Linked DNA regions of Arabidopsis thaliana. The protein of the gene in region 1 purifies or fractionates together with the protein of each later gene. This does not show direct contact. Each region holds a gene or a part of one and is shown in the gene's direction. Other genes may lie near its edges. The genes, in order: AT2G12200, ATCS and CSY5.

Evidence for each region.
Region 2: the proteins of AT2G12200 (region 1) and ATCS fractionate together in Arabidopsis thaliana (co-fractionation; one large-scale study listed by BioGRID). This does not show direct contact.
Region 3: the proteins of AT2G12200 (region 1) and CSY5 fractionate together in Arabidopsis thaliana (co-fractionation; one large-scale study listed by BioGRID). This does not show direct contact.

Annotation. Positions count from the first base shown.
Region 1 is NC_003071.7:4,898,810-4,901,632, forward strand, and holds AT2G12200 (P-loop containing nucleoside triphosphate hydrolases superfamily protein), read left to right. Parts: upstream 1-1,803; 5' UTR 1,804-1,841; coding exon 1,842-2,006; intron 2,007-2,108; coding exon 2,109-2,135; downstream 2,136-2,823.
Region 2 is NC_003071.7:18,314,334-18,321,390, forward strand, and holds ATCS (Citrate synthase family protein), read left to right. Parts: upstream 1-1,944; 5' UTR 1,945-2,059; intron 2,060-2,086; exon of another isoform or gene 2,087-2,249; intron 2,250-2,322; 5' UTR 2,323-2,339; coding exon 2,340-2,390; intron 2,391-2,488; coding exon 2,489-2,554; intron 2,555-2,700; coding exon 2,701-2,742; intron 2,743-2,923; coding exon 2,924-2,989; intron 2,990-3,081; coding exon 3,082-3,147; intron 3,148-3,269; coding exon 3,270-3,383; intron 3,384-3,491; coding exon 3,492-3,555; intron 3,556-3,732; coding exon 3,733-3,815; intron 3,816-3,943; coding exon 3,944-3,993; intron 3,994-4,072; coding exon 4,073-4,150; intron 4,151-4,294; coding exon 4,295-4,423; intron 4,424-4,557; coding exon 4,558-4,600; intron 4,601-4,691; coding exon 4,692-4,778; intron 4,779-4,945; coding exon 4,946-5,047; intron 5,048-5,395; coding exon 5,396-5,503; intron 5,504-5,594; coding exon 5,595-5,645; intron 5,646-5,792; coding exon 5,793-5,866; intron 5,867-5,943; and 5 more. Other genes in the region: AT2G44340 (VQ motif-containing protein), read left to right, coding at 1-512; AT2G44360 (ecotropic viral integration site protein), read right to left, coding at 6,522-6,761, 6,846-6,953.
Region 3 is NC_003074.8:22,190,762-22,197,147, forward strand, and holds CSY5 (citrate synthase 5), read left to right. Parts: upstream 1-1,968; 5' UTR 1,969-2,126; coding exon 2,127-2,177; intron 2,178-2,260; coding exon 2,261-2,314; intron 2,315-2,430; coding exon 2,431-2,472; intron 2,473-2,602; coding exon 2,603-2,668; intron 2,669-2,758; coding exon 2,759-2,824; intron 2,825-2,913; coding exon 2,914-3,027; intron 3,028-3,119; coding exon 3,120-3,183; intron 3,184-3,319; coding exon 3,320-3,402; intron 3,403-3,498; coding exon 3,499-3,551; intron 3,552-3,634; coding exon 3,635-3,712; intron 3,713-3,826; coding exon 3,827-3,955; intron 3,956-4,120; coding exon 4,121-4,163; intron 4,164-4,261; coding exon 4,262-4,348; intron 4,349-4,480; coding exon 4,481-4,582; intron 4,583-4,763; coding exon 4,764-4,871; intron 4,872-4,946; coding exon 4,947-4,997; intron 4,998-5,081; coding exon 5,082-5,155; intron 5,156-5,238; coding exon 5,239-5,290; intron 5,291-5,392; coding exon 5,393-5,485; 3' UTR 5,486-5,686; and 1 more. Other genes in the region: AT3G60090 (VQ motif-containing protein), read left to right, coding at 97-570.

The DNA of each region.
Region 1 (2,823 bases):
CCACTGCTTTCCCCAGCCTCACGGATCACCATCTTAGAAGGCTCGTGTTCTTCATCTTCTTCGATGGTGTCCTCTCTCTTGCGTTTGCCCCTATCCGCTGCCACATCCTCACGAACATAGTCTCTGTTCACTCCATTATTTGTTTCCATCTCTCCATGGTACGTGGAGTAACGACATGGCTCCCAATCCTGGAAATCTTCCACGGCTTCATGATGGGCATTCATCACTAATGAGAGTTATTTTATTTATTATTGTCCACGTATTTATTTTGTTTTTAATGTATTTTTTTTTTTTTTTGCCTTTTACAGTTCCTAATCCAGATTTAAATCTGGATATAACCCTATAAATTATAAGATATACTCGTCCACATAATATTATCAAGTTTTTTAGTTTTTTAGAAAATAAAAATCTATTCTAAAATTTGAGAAAATCAAGTGAGATAATTTTGTGCCTCACAAGTCACGAGATTACTTAGCTCGGAAGGGTTTTGGGCTCTACGTGTGAAAGGCATAAGATATTTTAGTTACTTTTATGCTTTACAATTTACATTACTAGAGTACAAACAAAACAACAGCTATCATGGATTTTTATGACATCATCAATTTACGTGTGTCATTTGAGATTTATAATCTTTATTTTATTATCACTTCTATTTTGTTTTAATGAGTTCAAGATCTTTTCTTGAAAGACATATGAAGACTTTAACCCAAAAAGCTAAGTATTGTCTTTGATGAAACTTTGAAATCGAGAAGTTTTCAAAATTTTAAACGATGTCAACCAGTATTTTTTATTTATAAAACAGTATTTTTCTCTAAATATTTGACAAGATTTTTTTACCCCCGCATTAGCTAAAACCCATTTTCGTACATATGTTTACAAACAGTGTCCGCTCAACAATTTCATGGGTGTAGGATAATTTTTTTTTATATTTTGTTATAAAATTTTTTGTATGATAATTTAGTTAACAAAAAAAAAAAAAATGCATTAAAAAAATTATAGGTCCATTCTAAATTTTATTTTTGTGTTATATCTAATTTTTAAAAATATTTTTTAAAAAATATATGTCCCTTAATTGTTAAAACATGGGTTTGGATTCTTGGCTGTCGCACCGCTTGCCCCTCTATTTAAACCGGCACTGTTTACAAATTAAACATTATAGAAAATAATTCTTAAAAACCGGACTAAGTAATGAAAATTTTAAATTACAAAAACGAAGAATACTAGGAAGCTAGAACTAGGGAAGAAAACTTGAAGCACCACATTAGTCAAAGAGATCGAAGAAAGAAGCCATTCTCTAAGAAAATTTACCATTAAGATTGACTATGCACTTTATTTAAAACACTTGCCAATATATCTTTTTCAAAAGTTTTTTTTTCATAACTCATATTAAGACTTTCATCTTCAAATTAAAGGGGGATGAGCTTTCCGGATGATACTTAGACCTGAGTTGAGTCAAAATCGCATCTCCCTACAAACAAGTTCATCATAAACCAGTCGTAGGGTCCAAAGACTTTCACGATCCATTAAACTGACATCTTAGTGTTCAAAGATATTTTTCTTGGTGTTCTAAAACATATATCTTCTGAACATGGCTCAATTGTGACTCCTCTCAAGAAAATTTAAAGGACTTGGGGGAGGACTATATTATTATTTTTAGTTCCCCTTAAATATCCACATAATAATTACTGTTTGTTGTTTTCTTTTTAATTCAAACATACACCATTCCAAAGAGACCTTTGATAGTTTTCTTTACTAAAATATTATTGAAAATTACTTATAAGATTTATTATTAACATGTTTTAGATTGAAAATTGCTCATACAGGCACATAAACAGATTGAGATGTACACACAACAAGGCTTCTCGAATCTTCCCATATGCATGTCGAAAACGCAGTACTCATTCTCACATGATACATCAAAGAAAAGAGCACCTTCAGGGTTTGTATTGCCAATTCGGGATGTTAGAGGAAGCATTGGAGCTGGTTTCATATACACTACAAAAAAAGTCCTCATTGATAGCAGTAGAGGATAGCTCATTTTCCTCAACTGCTATAAAAGATGAATAAAATTTTTGGTTACTTTTTAATAGCACCTTATAAACGCTAAGACCGTAAATCCTCTAGCGGGAATGTAAAATACTTTAGTCCGCCAACACTTAGGTAAAATTATTCACTTCAGCGCCAACACTTAAGCAAAACTATTCACTTCCCTCTACAGCTTCGTGAAAACCTAAGAAAATCGAGAAGACCAAAATTATTCACTTTTGCCTTAGATCTGTCGAATCCACTCCCAAAATCGATTCAACCTAAAAGCTAAGATCTGTCGCTGGCCAGAAATTCGGATTCTCCGCCGCCACATTCTCCAGCTCAGCCACCGTTGAGCTCAAATTCAAGGTTAGTCTTTCTTCCTTATTCCTTATTAATCCATTTCAGCTTCCATCTTTCTCGCATTTTGACCTAATCTCATAGAATCGACTTTCATTTTGCAGCCACCAGTGAGCTCTAACCTTGTCGCAGCCACCAGTGAGCTCTAACCTTGTCGCAGCCACCACTGAGCTCAAAATCAAGGCATGTCTTACTCTCAATTTGACCTAGTTCTTTGTGACGATTTGATTTTGGGGTTTATATGCATCGATTTGTTATATTTAGGGCAATGTGATTTGAATGGAATTAGGAAGTGAAACTTTTCTTTTTTCTTATACTGATTATCGTTTTGGGGTTTATATGCATCGATTTGTGATTTGATTTAGAGTTCTTAAACGTTTTGCTTCAACTTATACTCATAATCGTTTTTTTTTATCAAGTGTTGGTGATTGCAATGTC
Region 2 (7,057 bases), about 13 Mb from region 1:
TGAACAGGAATTCACAAGTAATATCCAAGATCAAACCCAAGATTCGCATAATCCATATATTTGCACCGGAGGTCATCAAGACCGACGTCAAGAACTTTCGTTCACTCGTCCAGAGTCTAACCGGGAAACCGGCACCGGGAGAAGCCAAAACCGGTAAAAAGAGAGCCAAATCAAGAATTACGACTCCCCAAGAACCGGTTTGCGATGATCATCAGCCGGTCAACAGGCTTTCGGGTTTCACCGGTTTACTAGCAAACGGAGGAAACCACCAGGTGAAAGAAGAGTGGGGATCAGGTGATCAGAGTACTTCGAACACAAACACGTACTTTGATCTAGAAGGTTTAATTCAAGATGTCGGAGAAGATTACTTCTCTTCGTTTCCCATGAGATCCTCTTCTTCTTCACAAGTCGAAGGTTTCATCTTCAACAACAACAACAACAACAACAACAACAACAACAACAACAACAACAACAACACCAACTTCGATACAAAGGCTCATAATTCGTCTTAATTAATAACAGATTAATTTCTAGGGTTTTCAATCTTATTGATTCTGCAAATCGCATTTGGTGAGATGAGATCTAATCGCAACGATAAGGTCATATTTTGTGGGAGAAAAAAGGCATAGAAGTTGTATATAGATATAACAAATGGGTATGATGAGAGACATAAACTTTTGGCGGGACTGACTTTGCCAAGGTTGAGAGTTGTGATGAAGAGAGTTTAATCTACGTGCAGCCCTTCTAGGAGAAGTGGCTGTATCTAATTAAGATGTGGTCGGTCAAAAAAGCCCTAGTTTTATTATGTAACTTCATTGATGTGCTATTATTGGATGTGTATTAATTCTTTGGTGTGCAGATAAATGTGATGATTGCTGTACTTTAATTTTGGGGAAAAAGTTTGTATGGAATTAGAACAAGGATCGACTTGTTTTCGATATAGATACTCTGATTGATTGTGTATATTGAATATCGATACTTACATAACGGTTATTCGGTTAAAGTACAGTTACACTAATTAAATTAAACTGTAAGTTAACAAGAATATTCTGGCTCAAGCTAAATTATTTTTTTTATTATTATTGTTTACTAATCTTTTGTTACAAATGTTGAAAATGATATTTATTATACATGTAGTACTTCAACTAAAATAAATAACGTGTTTTCATATTTGATGTACGTGTATAATATATCATTTTCAACAGTGAGTAATATTAACCCTTTTATCAAAATAAAGTAAAACAAAATGATATAACCTATCAACAAAATGCAAAGAAAATTGATCCGAACCGAATATAGCCGTAACGGTACACCAAAATTGTTTTGAGATTTTAGTGTCCGTTGACCTTTTCATATAAAGCCAAATTATTCGGTCTGGTTTCCAAAAGAACGAAAAGGTATATGATTACGGTTTACTCCCTTGCTTCTGTGTTTTGGTTTAGTTTGGTTTACCTTCTCAAAGTTCTCGAACGTCAACATTTATTTTATCTTATTTTGTAAGGTTCTGCACATGTTATACTTATTAATTAGTCTACTTTTTCAGGCATTGGGATTATTTGTTTTAGTCTAAATCGGTTTTGGTTGCATAATATTGGATGAAAACATTGTAAAGGACAATTTCAAACCTGACTTTTCTAGATTTGGAAACGTTCCGGCTGCTTGAAAAGCTCACATAAATATTAGTATGATTTCTTAAACCAAAAATAAATGATGATTATCAACAATACCGTAAATAAGGCAAAGGAAATAAATGATGATTATCAACAATTGCCGAAAATAACCACACCGGTACACCGAAATTGTTTTTGAGATTCATAAAACCGGAATAATACGCCTAAAGGTTATTTTCTCCAATACCGGTTTAGTTTGGTTTGCCTTCTCAAAGTACTCGAAGGTCAAAATTGGAATTTAGTAATAAACCTGCTCCAGCTATATACAAATGTCATTTGCTCACCTTTCGCCGATTGATTTTGTACATCACACGCAGACGCAGCTTTTAGTATTTTTTTCAACAATCGCTTTTTTTTTTCTCGATCTCCGTGAAGCTCTCGAATCTCTGGTATGTTTCTTCGCTTCTTCATAGTGTTTCTCATTTCCTTTTGGTCTTCCATAATTTTCGGAGAATCTAGTCCTGTTTTTCTCTTCTTCTGGAATCTGAATTCGCCGGTGAATTCCGCTGATCGAATCTCTGAGTTTTGTTGAATTATTTGATTCGGCGATAAAACTTTTTTTGTTTGTTTCTGATTTTGGTGAGTGTTGATTGCTTGAGTTTTTTCACGGATCGATTTGTTTTGAGAATTGGGTGGATACTGTCTGTCACAGGTTTTGAGTTTTGGAGAATGGTGTTTTTCCGCAGCGTATCGGCCTTTACTAGGCTGAGGTCTCGCGTCGTAAGTATTTGAAAATTTTGTTTCCAGTTTTGTGTTTGTTCTCGTTTGATCTCGCTGGTTCATGCTAATCGATTGATTGGTGATCGAATCTATGTAAGCAGGGCCAACAATCTTCACTCAGCAATTCTGTCAGATGGATTCAGATGCAGAGCTCTACCGACCTGGTAAATCATCTCCGTTGCTTCGTACTTTCGTGTGTGATCGTGATCATGTAGTTTTCATGATCATGATCATATGTAAGTTTAATATTGGTTTGGGATCTGCTGCTTGTGGGGTCTTTGTTCATTTTGTTTAAATGGTGGCAATGCAGGACCTGAAGTCGCAGCTGCAAGAGTTAATTCCGGAACAGCAGGTTAGATTAGACTCTGTTTGCTTTAAATGAAAATTTGTGTTGTTGACTTTTTTTTTTCATTGAATGTGTGTATTATTTGTTATGTTAGCTGAGATTGTTAAGTTAAGAAGGCAGGCTAGTTGTAGTGAATCTCTTTGCTTTTCTAGTTTCCTCTTTTCTCACAAGAATTTTCCAATTTCAGGACCGTCTGAAGAAACTGAAGTCAGAACATGGGAAGGTCCAACTGGGAAACATCACTGTTGATATGGTAGAAACAATCATGATTTTCACGTTTTTGGTTTGTTTATATGATTTTCACCTTCCATTGCATAACTCATCATAATCCCCTTTGAAATAAAGGTTATTGGTGGAATGAGAGGGATGACTGGATTGCTTTGGGAAACCTCATTGCTTGACCCGGAAGAGGTACTGTATAACTCTCTGTATATAGTTACAATAGCTTGGTTAGATCCTAGATATAGAATATATCAAATGCTCCTCCTTCCTGTTCTAAGGCTGTTGATGCAATTATCTTATCATTATTTCAGGGTATTCGCTTTAGGGGATTGTCGATTCCTGAGTGCCAGAAAGTATTACCTACTGCCCAGTCTGGAGCTGAACCATTACCGGAGGGTCTTTTGTGGCTTCTCTTAACTGGAAAGGTGTGGCTCTTCTGTACATTATTATAAGTTGGTTCTGGATATGTCCAGTCGATTAGTTTTCCTCAATAGATTATCTTATGATATCCTTTTTTACCCTTTTTCGTATAGGTACCTAGCAAAGAGCAAGTTGAAGCACTGTCGAAAGACTTGGCGAACCGTGCTGCTGTGCCAGGTTTGGATATTACCTTTTTCGCTCTGGCTGTTGCAAATAAAGGAGTCTGTTTATTGGCTCATTCAAACTTGTTTGACATCAATGCTTACAAGAAATTGCTTAACAGAAATGAAATAAATTTGTGGGTTTTGTGTTATACTTTCATTCATTCTTAACTTGTATCCAATTTTTATACAGATTATGTGTACAATGCCATCGATGCTCTGCCTTCCACAGCTCATCCAATGACTCAATTTGCTAGCGGTGTTATGGCCCTCCAGGTGTGGTTCTCTAAACTCGTATTGTTGTTTCTGTTCTTCTTGTGATAAGCGTTGGAAACTTATTGTTTTTTTTGGCTATAAGTAAACAATTTTCAGCAGAATGATAATTTTCTTTACCTAATATCCAGGTGCAAAGTGAGTTTCAAAAGGCATATGAGAATGGAATTCATAAGTCAAAGTATGCTTTTGGGGTTCTGATTTAGTTCATGATAGCGTTTCATATTAGCTGGCATCATAACAAAGATTTTTTCTTCCAGGTTCTGGGAGCCAACATATGAGGATTGCCTCAACCTGATTGCTCGTGTTCCTGTTGTAGCTGCATATGTTTATCGAAGGTTAGTGAAGACTCTTTTTGTACTCTTTTTCATGTTTCTTGTAGCTTCTGGATTTTCGGCAATGATTTTTTTTTTATTGGAAAATTTGCCATCTCTTGTTTTTGCTTTGTATTGACTGTTGACCTTTTCCATGCATCATTGCAGGATGTATAAGAATGGTGATTCCATTCCCTCAGATAAATCTTTGGATTATGGTGCAAATTTTTCCCACATGTTGGGATTTGATGATGAAAAGGTGAAAGAGCTCATGAGGCTTTACATCACCATCCACAGGTCTGTATTAATTTTCGTCACCCATGCATGTCTCCTTAAATAAGCTTAATTATCTTGTAAATTTGTTTGTTCTTTTTAAGACTTTAAATAGACCTTTGTATAACATTTTGCTTTTCTACTATTTTTTGCTCTAGTGATCATGAAGGTGGAAATGTTAGTGCTCACACTGGTCACCTGGTATGTATATACTCTCCATGTGTCAATTTTAAAGGATTGACCTACCTGAAGTTTCTAATGGTTCTTTTGCTAAAAATTCTTGTTCATGTAGGTTGGTAGTGCACTTTCAGACCCATATCTGTCATTTGCAGCTGCATTAAATGGTTTAGCTGGGCCACTCCATGGTTTGGCTAATCAGGTATCCTCCCTTGTCTATATCTTGAATAAGTCTTAAATCTTCAATCTACAATAGAGCTTCGTAAGTGGCTTTTTGTATTTTATCTAGGTAGGTTGTGATAGTTTGATGATACAACCATAAATTGGAGAAAACAAATTCTTAGTCTTTTTTTATTATTGTTTCAACAGGAAGTTTTGCTTTGGATCAAATCAGTCGTAGAGGAATGTGGAGAAGATATATCAAAAGAACAGTTGAAAGAATATGTTTGGAAAACATTAAACAGTGGCAAGGTAAAAACAGGAAATTCCTCTGCCTTGACATTCTTTACTTTCTGGTCTTGTACCTGAATCCCACTTTTGAAGCCAGCCAACAAGACTGATGGAGCATGCGAAAATGAATTAACATCTTGTCTACTAGTCATCATAATAGGCTAATATTTCAATTTATTGTGTGATACTGTTATGGGTCCTCTTATTTACGACCTCATAGTTTGGTCAGTTGCTCTAACTGCTCCTAGTAAGTAATACTGCCATAAGAGCTTTGGATCCTGTTTTTCCCTATCCTAGTTTACCTTGTGGATGTAATGTTACAAGGATAGTCTAATGATGATCTATTGACGAGTCTTGTTTTGTCTCTAGGTTATTCCGGGATATGGTCACGGTGTTCTGCGCAATACTGATCCAAGATATGTATGCCAAAGAGAATTTGCCTTGAAGCATCTACCTGACGACCCTCTTTTCCAGCTGGTACTTTTTTTCTTTCTCTTTTCTCTTTTCTGTTCGGTTCTCAAAATTCTATCAATGTTCAGTAGCTAACAAAATCCTTCCAACTCTGTAGGTGTCAAAGCTTTATGAAGTTGTGCCTCCTGTTCTCACTGAGCTTGGAAAGGTAGTATCTCTATCCTTCGTTTACCATGGTGATCCTTCAATATTCCACCAACAACTCCACAACACCTTACCTACATGCTAGGGGCTTATGAATCTCTTGCGAATCAATTTTTTATTTACTTGCGAATCCGATGATGGCTTGTTACAGGTGAAGAACCCGTGGCCAAATGTTGATGCTCACAGTGGGGTCTTGCTGAACCACTATGGTCTAACCGAAGCAAGGTAAGAAGTAGACACCTCCTTCAAGTATCATTGAGCCTTAGGATAGCACTCAAATATAATATCTGTGCGTTTTATAGGTACTACACCGTGCTCTTTGGTGTTTCAAGGAGTCTTGGCATCTGCTCTCAGGTAACATATATATATTTACACATTACGCCTTTGTTACTACATAACATTTAAAACAGAACTCATATGCTCTCCATTCTCATTTGTGTTTAATTCACAGCTTATATGGGACCGAGCTCTTGGACTTGCACTTGAGAGGCCAAAGAGTGTTACCATGGACTGGCTTGAAGCCCATTGTAAGAAAGCTTCATCTGCTTAAGTCACCACCGAGTCCTGAGTTGTCGCACTCTCTCGTGTTTCAACAAAAGTCATTCTCTTCCACACTGGATAGCTTTTTTTGTTTTTACCTTCTATTGACAGAAGAAACATTTGTTCATGTAGAAATTGTTCCTGAGAAACACATGCTTGGTGCAAATTTGCATTTCCGGGAAACTCGTGATAATAAATAAACAGTTGTATTCAGTTTGCGTAAAAATCAAACATCAATATCACTCATGAATTAAAGCTTATCTTGGTTTTGATATACATAAAAGAAACAAGACTGCAAAATAGAAAACTTCGACATGAGTTTATCAAAAAGAAAATGGGATTAAGAGCTGCTGGTATTGTCGGTAGTAGTCTCCTTGTTAGAAAGGTCATCATCATCAGCAAGAGAGGCTGTGAAGTTGAGTCTCTCTTCGGCGCCGGCAGTGATAACCGGCATCCAAACATCAGCTGTGCCGCTAAGAAGCGTCTGAACCTGTGGATCAGAAGCTATAGCTGATGATATCATCTCATCCACATCATCTAACTTTGCTGATAACTTGTCCAATTCCTTAGCTATCTCCACCTGAAAACACAAACAATCACACACAAAGCCTCAGATTTACATTACAATGTGTACCAGATATATGAGTGAACACAGGATACAGACCTCATTGAGGTGTTGAGCAGACTTTGATGGCACTTTAGTGACTTCTAAACCAAGAGCTTCAATCTTAGAACGTAGCTCAACCTCTTCTGTATTTGTCAATGATTCTACCTAAGAAACAAAAATCATCAGTAGGCAACAAAATCATCTGTATTTGTCAATGTTGTAGTAACAATTAGTGTCCATTAACAACAATATCAAAAAGCTCTTGCCCT
Region 3 (6,386 bases), on another chromosome or scaffold:
CATATGCATATCATTTCCCAAAACAATACAAGAAACCTGAAATCCAAAAAAGAAAAACCCAAAATCTTCGCTTCTTCATCTTCTTTTTACGTTTATATGGTGAGAAATTCTATGAAGGCTGAGTACGATATAGATCATCTTCCTCATCAAACCTTTTATGGTGATTATTCAAAAACTTTGGTTCCCATGAACAAGAACTCCCAAATAATAACCAAGATCAAGCCTAAGATCCGTATCATCCATATATTTGCTCCCGAGATCATCAACACCGATGTCAAGAACTTCCGCACACTCGTCCAAAGTCTAACCGGGAAACCGGAGATCACCAAAACCGGTTCTAAGAAAAAGATAACCAACACAAATTTTCCTGCGCCACCGGGTTTGCCTCAAGATTCCGGCCAAGAACATACGGCTGAACTGGACAACAGAATAATAGGGAGCCACGTGGTGAAGGAAGAATGGGGATCAAGTTCAAACACAAATACTTACTTTGATTTTGACGGTTTGATCGATCTTGATGAAGACGACAACATATTCTCAAGTCGATGGTTTGATCTTCAACAACAATAATTAGTTTGGTCACACCTTACCCTAATATGTAGGGTTTCTACTAATCGTAAGTCCTGTTGGTTTTGATGATGATTTGATCATTTATTCGATATGGAGCATAACAAGACATGGGTCAAGACAAGACCAAGGTTGAGACGATGATCATCTATATAGGTAGGAACATACATAACTTGTATATATGTACAAATGTTTGGATTTTTTGGGCTTGGGTGCCCTTTGATTTAATTTGTTAGACTGACTTAATTTACCAAGAAAGAGTGTAGTGATGAGTTTGTAGACTGATTTTGCCAAGAAAAAGTAAGTTTGTGTTTTGATCTCCGATCATGTGAAAACTCTACTTAAAAATGGTGTAACGTTGTACTCACGCGTGCGTGTGCAAGTTTTATATATAGAAAAGCGAGAATGATATTGTGATTGAATTTTTTAGATTGTTCATTTTTTTTCGTCAAATTATTTTGTTTGTTAATTCATATATAAGTCATGTTACTTACAACAAATTGTTTGATAAAACAAAAATGAATTCCATTAAACTGAATTAACGAAATACTATAATGATAAATGATTCTTACATGACTCTAAAAGAGTTTCGATTTGAATATATAAATGAATAAAGTTCTGTTTTATTGGCGATGTTCTTGATATATACCTTCAAAACTTTATGGCTAAATTACATTTTAACTTCTCAAAACGTTAGATTATGAAAGGTGGACTCACATTTCATAAACATTAAAATGATATGGTAATATGATTATAATGAGTTGTAATGGATATATGTCATATTTTTCCAATCTCATTCATTGAAATATCAGTTTATTTTTTGGATGACATAACGATCAATAGTGTCATATAATATGATATCCAATGTTTTAATATTAACTAGCTATAGCTATATCCATCATTGTTAATAGTTGTGTTACATCATTAAATAGTATTTCAAAAGAATATAAAAATTTCTGATAACTAATGGAGAATGAAGAATATCAAACCGCCCATTCGACCAAGAAATTATAATAACGAAGTTTATAACTTTTTTTTTCAATTGTGAAATGTCATTTTTACTTTATTTATTTCCAACAAAATAAAATTATGTTTTATCTAAACCCTTGGACTTTACCAAGAAGCTACTTTTTTATTTAGCAACAGCAAAAGCTACATACCATTTGTTCTTTATTTATTAATGACCGTTTTTTTAGGCATTAGAATCGTTACGGCTGCTTCGAATCTTGCGTCTCACGGACCGACGGAACTAACCAATCTCAACCGAACCCGAACATAACCTGTTCGTTTGGTTTTCTAAATGGTAATCAATTGGTTCATTATACCGGTTTGGTAAGAAGAATCCGTGTGTTTGGTTTACATATGTTGTAATTTGACGCTTGTTCATCACGTTGCAGATATATCTCAACATCTCTCAATTTTTCTCTCTACGTTGAAGAAACTTTCGAATTTCCCGTTAGTTCTTCTCCACGCTTTCTCTTTCCCTTTATCTCTTATCTGGTTAAGCCAATCTTGATTGTTTGGATTCGTAACCGATCAGTGTTGTGAGGTTTGAAAGAATGGTGTTTTTTCGCAGCGTATCAGCCATTTCAAGACTACGGTCTCGAGCAGTGAGTAGATTTAGCTTTCATCCTTTTTGTGTTTTGTTTGATGTGATACAATTTGATGATCAGATCTAATATAAGAAGCACAGGTGCAACAATCCTCACTTAGTAACTCCGTCAGATGGCTCCACTCTTCTGAATTGGTACTTTCTTAGGTTTTCATGTTCTCGTGATCATGCGGTTCAGTTTGAGAACCAAAAATTTGGAATTTTACCTTCTAGGTTTTGTGTTGATGTTGCTTAAAATGATGGTAATGCAGGACTTGAAGTCGCAGATGCAAGAGATCATTCCAGAACAACAGGTTTAGTTTCTACTTCGTTGTGATTGAGATTGTTTCTAATTTTAGGGCAGATTTCATGTAGAGATCAAGCTCTTCTCTCTGTTTTAGTTGATGTCATTTCTCATACACAAACACAACTTTCAACTTTCAGGACCGTTTGAAGAAACTGAAATCAGAACAAGGAAAGGTTCCAGTGGGGAACATCACCGTTGATATGGTACGGATTCTAATGATATTTGTGATTACACAAAGGCTTTATCTTTTAAACATACTCGTATATATAGTTTTACATGTGGTATTTGTGAAGGTACTTGGTGGAATGAGAGGGATGACTGGATTACTCTGGGAAACCTCATTGCTTGATGCAGATGAGGTATGGTTATAATTTTGATCACATAGATAATTTTCAGGTCAGATCTTGAATTAGAATTATATAACATATGATATTATCTTTTGTATCAGGGAATACGGTTTAGAGGCATGTCGATTCCTGAATGTCAGAAAATATTACCTTCAGCTGAGTCTGGAGAAGAGCCCTTGCCTGAGAGTCTTCTGTGGCTTCTATTAACTGGAAAGGTGTGATAATCTTAAAACATTTTATACATACAATAAGTTTCAACTTTATATATGAATGATCTAAAGTATAGTTTTCCCTCCTTTCGGTATAGGTGCCAACTAAAGAGCAAGCTAATGCTTTGTCAACAGAGTTGGCTCATCGTGCGGCTGTGCCAGGTTTGTAGTTCACCTCTAGGCTCTGTTTGTTTATGACCTCAGTTTCATGACTCATCAAAACTTAGCAAAATACAAGCTGATGATAATTATAAACTGGATATTATGATGTTGCAAATATAACAACTCTCCATTGCAGATTATATATACAAAGCTATAGATGCTTTGCCTTCAACAGCTCATCCAATGACTCAATTTGCTAGTGGTGTTATGGCCCTTCAGGTGGATTGCTCTGTTATGTACTATTTTTTTTTTCTATGCATTCTCTTAGAATTTGTTTATTTTCAGGAGCATCTTATCTTGTTGATTGTTATTCAGGTTCAAAGTGAGTTTCAAAAGGCGTATGAGCAGGGTGATATTTCTAAGTCAAAGTATAAACTTTCAATAGTTCTATACTTTGTTTCTTGATTGGCTTATAGTAGTAGGCATCATAGAAACTGAGGTTTCTTGTCAGGTACTGGGAACCAACCTTCGAAGATGCCCTAAACTTGATTGCTCGTGTTCCTGTTGTAGCTTCATACGTTTATCGGAGGTTAAATTTTAGGATCTTTTCCAATGCTTTTAGCTTCCTGGACTAGTTAATTTTCTTAGATTTTCCTTTCTTCAGAGTGTTATTTTTCAATGTCCATTCTAATTCACATTGCAGGATGTACAAGGATGGTAGCATCATTCCATTAGATGATTCTTTGGATTATGGTGCAAATTTTTCACACATGCTGGGATTTGATAGTCCTCAGATGAAAGAGCTCATGAGGCTTTATGTCACTATCCACAGGTTAGTCCTGGTTCTCTTCGTTTCAACATGTCTCATTAATTAGAATACATAAGCTAAAGTTTTCTTGTATATAATGATGATCTTCCTTTATTTTACCAACTCTTACCAAATTTCTATAGCATGATCAAGGTTTTTTTTTCCCTTGTCTACTGGTTTCTGTTTTAGTGATCATGAAGGTGGAAATGTTAGTGCTCACGCTGGTCACCTGGTATGTATTTGCCACATGATCTTGATGCATGATAATGTTTTGAACTTATAGACATTTCTGATGGTTCTGTTTTTGGCTAATGATGTTTCTTCACTTAGGTTGGGAGTGCACTTTCAGATCCATATCTTTCATTTGCTGCTGCATTGAATGGTTTAGCTGGGCCACTCCATGGTTTGGCTAATCAGGTATTTATATCCTTAATGAGTCTTATATTGTTCGAATCTACAAGTGTATATAACTTGAACTCTAAGATTGACTCTTAATTATAAGCTTAAACTTGGAATCTTACTCTGTTTTTTTTCGTTGTCTTGTTGTAGGAAGTTTTGCTGTGGATCAAATTAGTTGTTGAGGAATGTGGAGAAAGTATATCAAAGGAACAGCTAAAAGATTATGTCTGGAAAACGTTAAACAGTGGCAAGGTTGACAAAATTATGCTCTGCTTTGCCTTTTGAAACTATCCATATGTATTGCATGCTAATCATGACAGGCCATAACTTGAATTATTGTATAAATAATGAATAAAAGCTTCGGATTATGTTTTGATTATGGGGTTTGCCTGTGAATGTTGTCAGGAAACTTAAATAAACATTTGTCTTGCAGGTTGTTCCAGGATATGGCCATGGTGTTTTGCGTAAAACGGATCCAAGATATATATGCCAAAGAGAGTTTGCCTTGAAGCATCTACCTGATGATCCTCTTTTTCAGCTGGTAACTTTTTTTCCCCCTCAAATCTTTGGTCATGCTTTAAAATTTTACTGGCTCACAAATTATGCAAGTCTATAGGTCTCAAAACTTTATGAAGTGGTGCCTCCTATTCTAACCGAGCTGGGAAAGGTACTACTTATACTCATTCATTTCATGTGCTACCAGATTTTCTGATTTTCTCTGGTTTTATGAATCTTGAAATTGCTGTATCAGGTCAAGAACCCGTGGCCTAACGTTGATGCTCATAGCGGAGTGCTTCTGAACTACTATGGTCTAACCGAAGCAAGGTAGGAACTACTTGTGTATCGAGGCTTTGACCTTGTTTTGCTGAATCTTGGTTATTATAGAGTGACATTCCTTTCAAATATAGATACTACACGGTGCTTTTTGGCGTCTCAAGAAGTCTTGGAATCTGCTCGCAGGTACATACATACATTCATGCCATCGACAATTCGATTTTAGTACGTATCGCCATATCCTTCACAATAAAGTCAGACTAATCTTTTATTCCTTTTCTGTTTCAGCTGATATGGGACAGGGCACTTGGACTGCCACTTGAGAGACCAAAGAGTGTAAACATGGACTGGCTCGATAACTTCACGCGCTTGAACCGCTAAGTTAATCCCTGACTGATGTTGGTCAAGGTTCTCTCTTTTATCACTTCAGCCTTCTCTTCCATTTGATTGGGTAGCTTTTAGAGATAAAAAAAAAACGATTTTTCGTCGAAATTTTGTTCTACAGAGTTTTCATTTTGGTTCTTCTGCAAAAACAATAAAGTCAAACAAGTAAAGAAACAGTCTTTCTCAGATTGAGACACCATATTATTGTTCCTCAACTTTGATAGACAAATGATGACCATTGATATGTATTGATTAGTCTTTGGTGAATTATCGCATAATAAACAATACTCATGCAACCAGTCCCGCTCAAACAGAGTGTTTGAAGTGAACAGAAGCAGAGTCAAGAAATTCAAAGCCTCGGGATCAAACAGAAGCTTCCTCCTATCTTAAGAAGCTCCCTACGAAGCTTTATGATGATTCTACAAAACACATTTGCTATCTTCAGTGAACAGTAAGATGCAACGTGTTCTCTTCTAAACCTTCAGATATTTGGCTAAGTATAAGACTCTTCGTAATCACAAAAAGCCAGAAATGCGAAATTGATTTTGAGTCTTCTTCCTCACAAGTTTTCTCTAACTTTCAGAGGAGTCGCTGGATCCTGTTACCGAGAATTATTAGAAACCGAGAGCAGAGGTTTCTAGCTAGGACAGGAAATATATTATTAGAACATATCCTAGTCTTCCTTGTCATGGCCAGTCCAGTGGTGCAAGAGAAACATACAATTCCAACTCAAGTATGTGATGGACTTGACTTGCTTAAGCCGTACGGCATCCTCGGAAAACCAAAACCATGTCGGAAAAAGGAACTTGACTTCCTTGAGGCTTACGGTTTCCTGGGCTCGAACCCAACTACCCAAGTCAAGTGACAGAGAGTCTTGACATAGATTAGGCACCTCCTT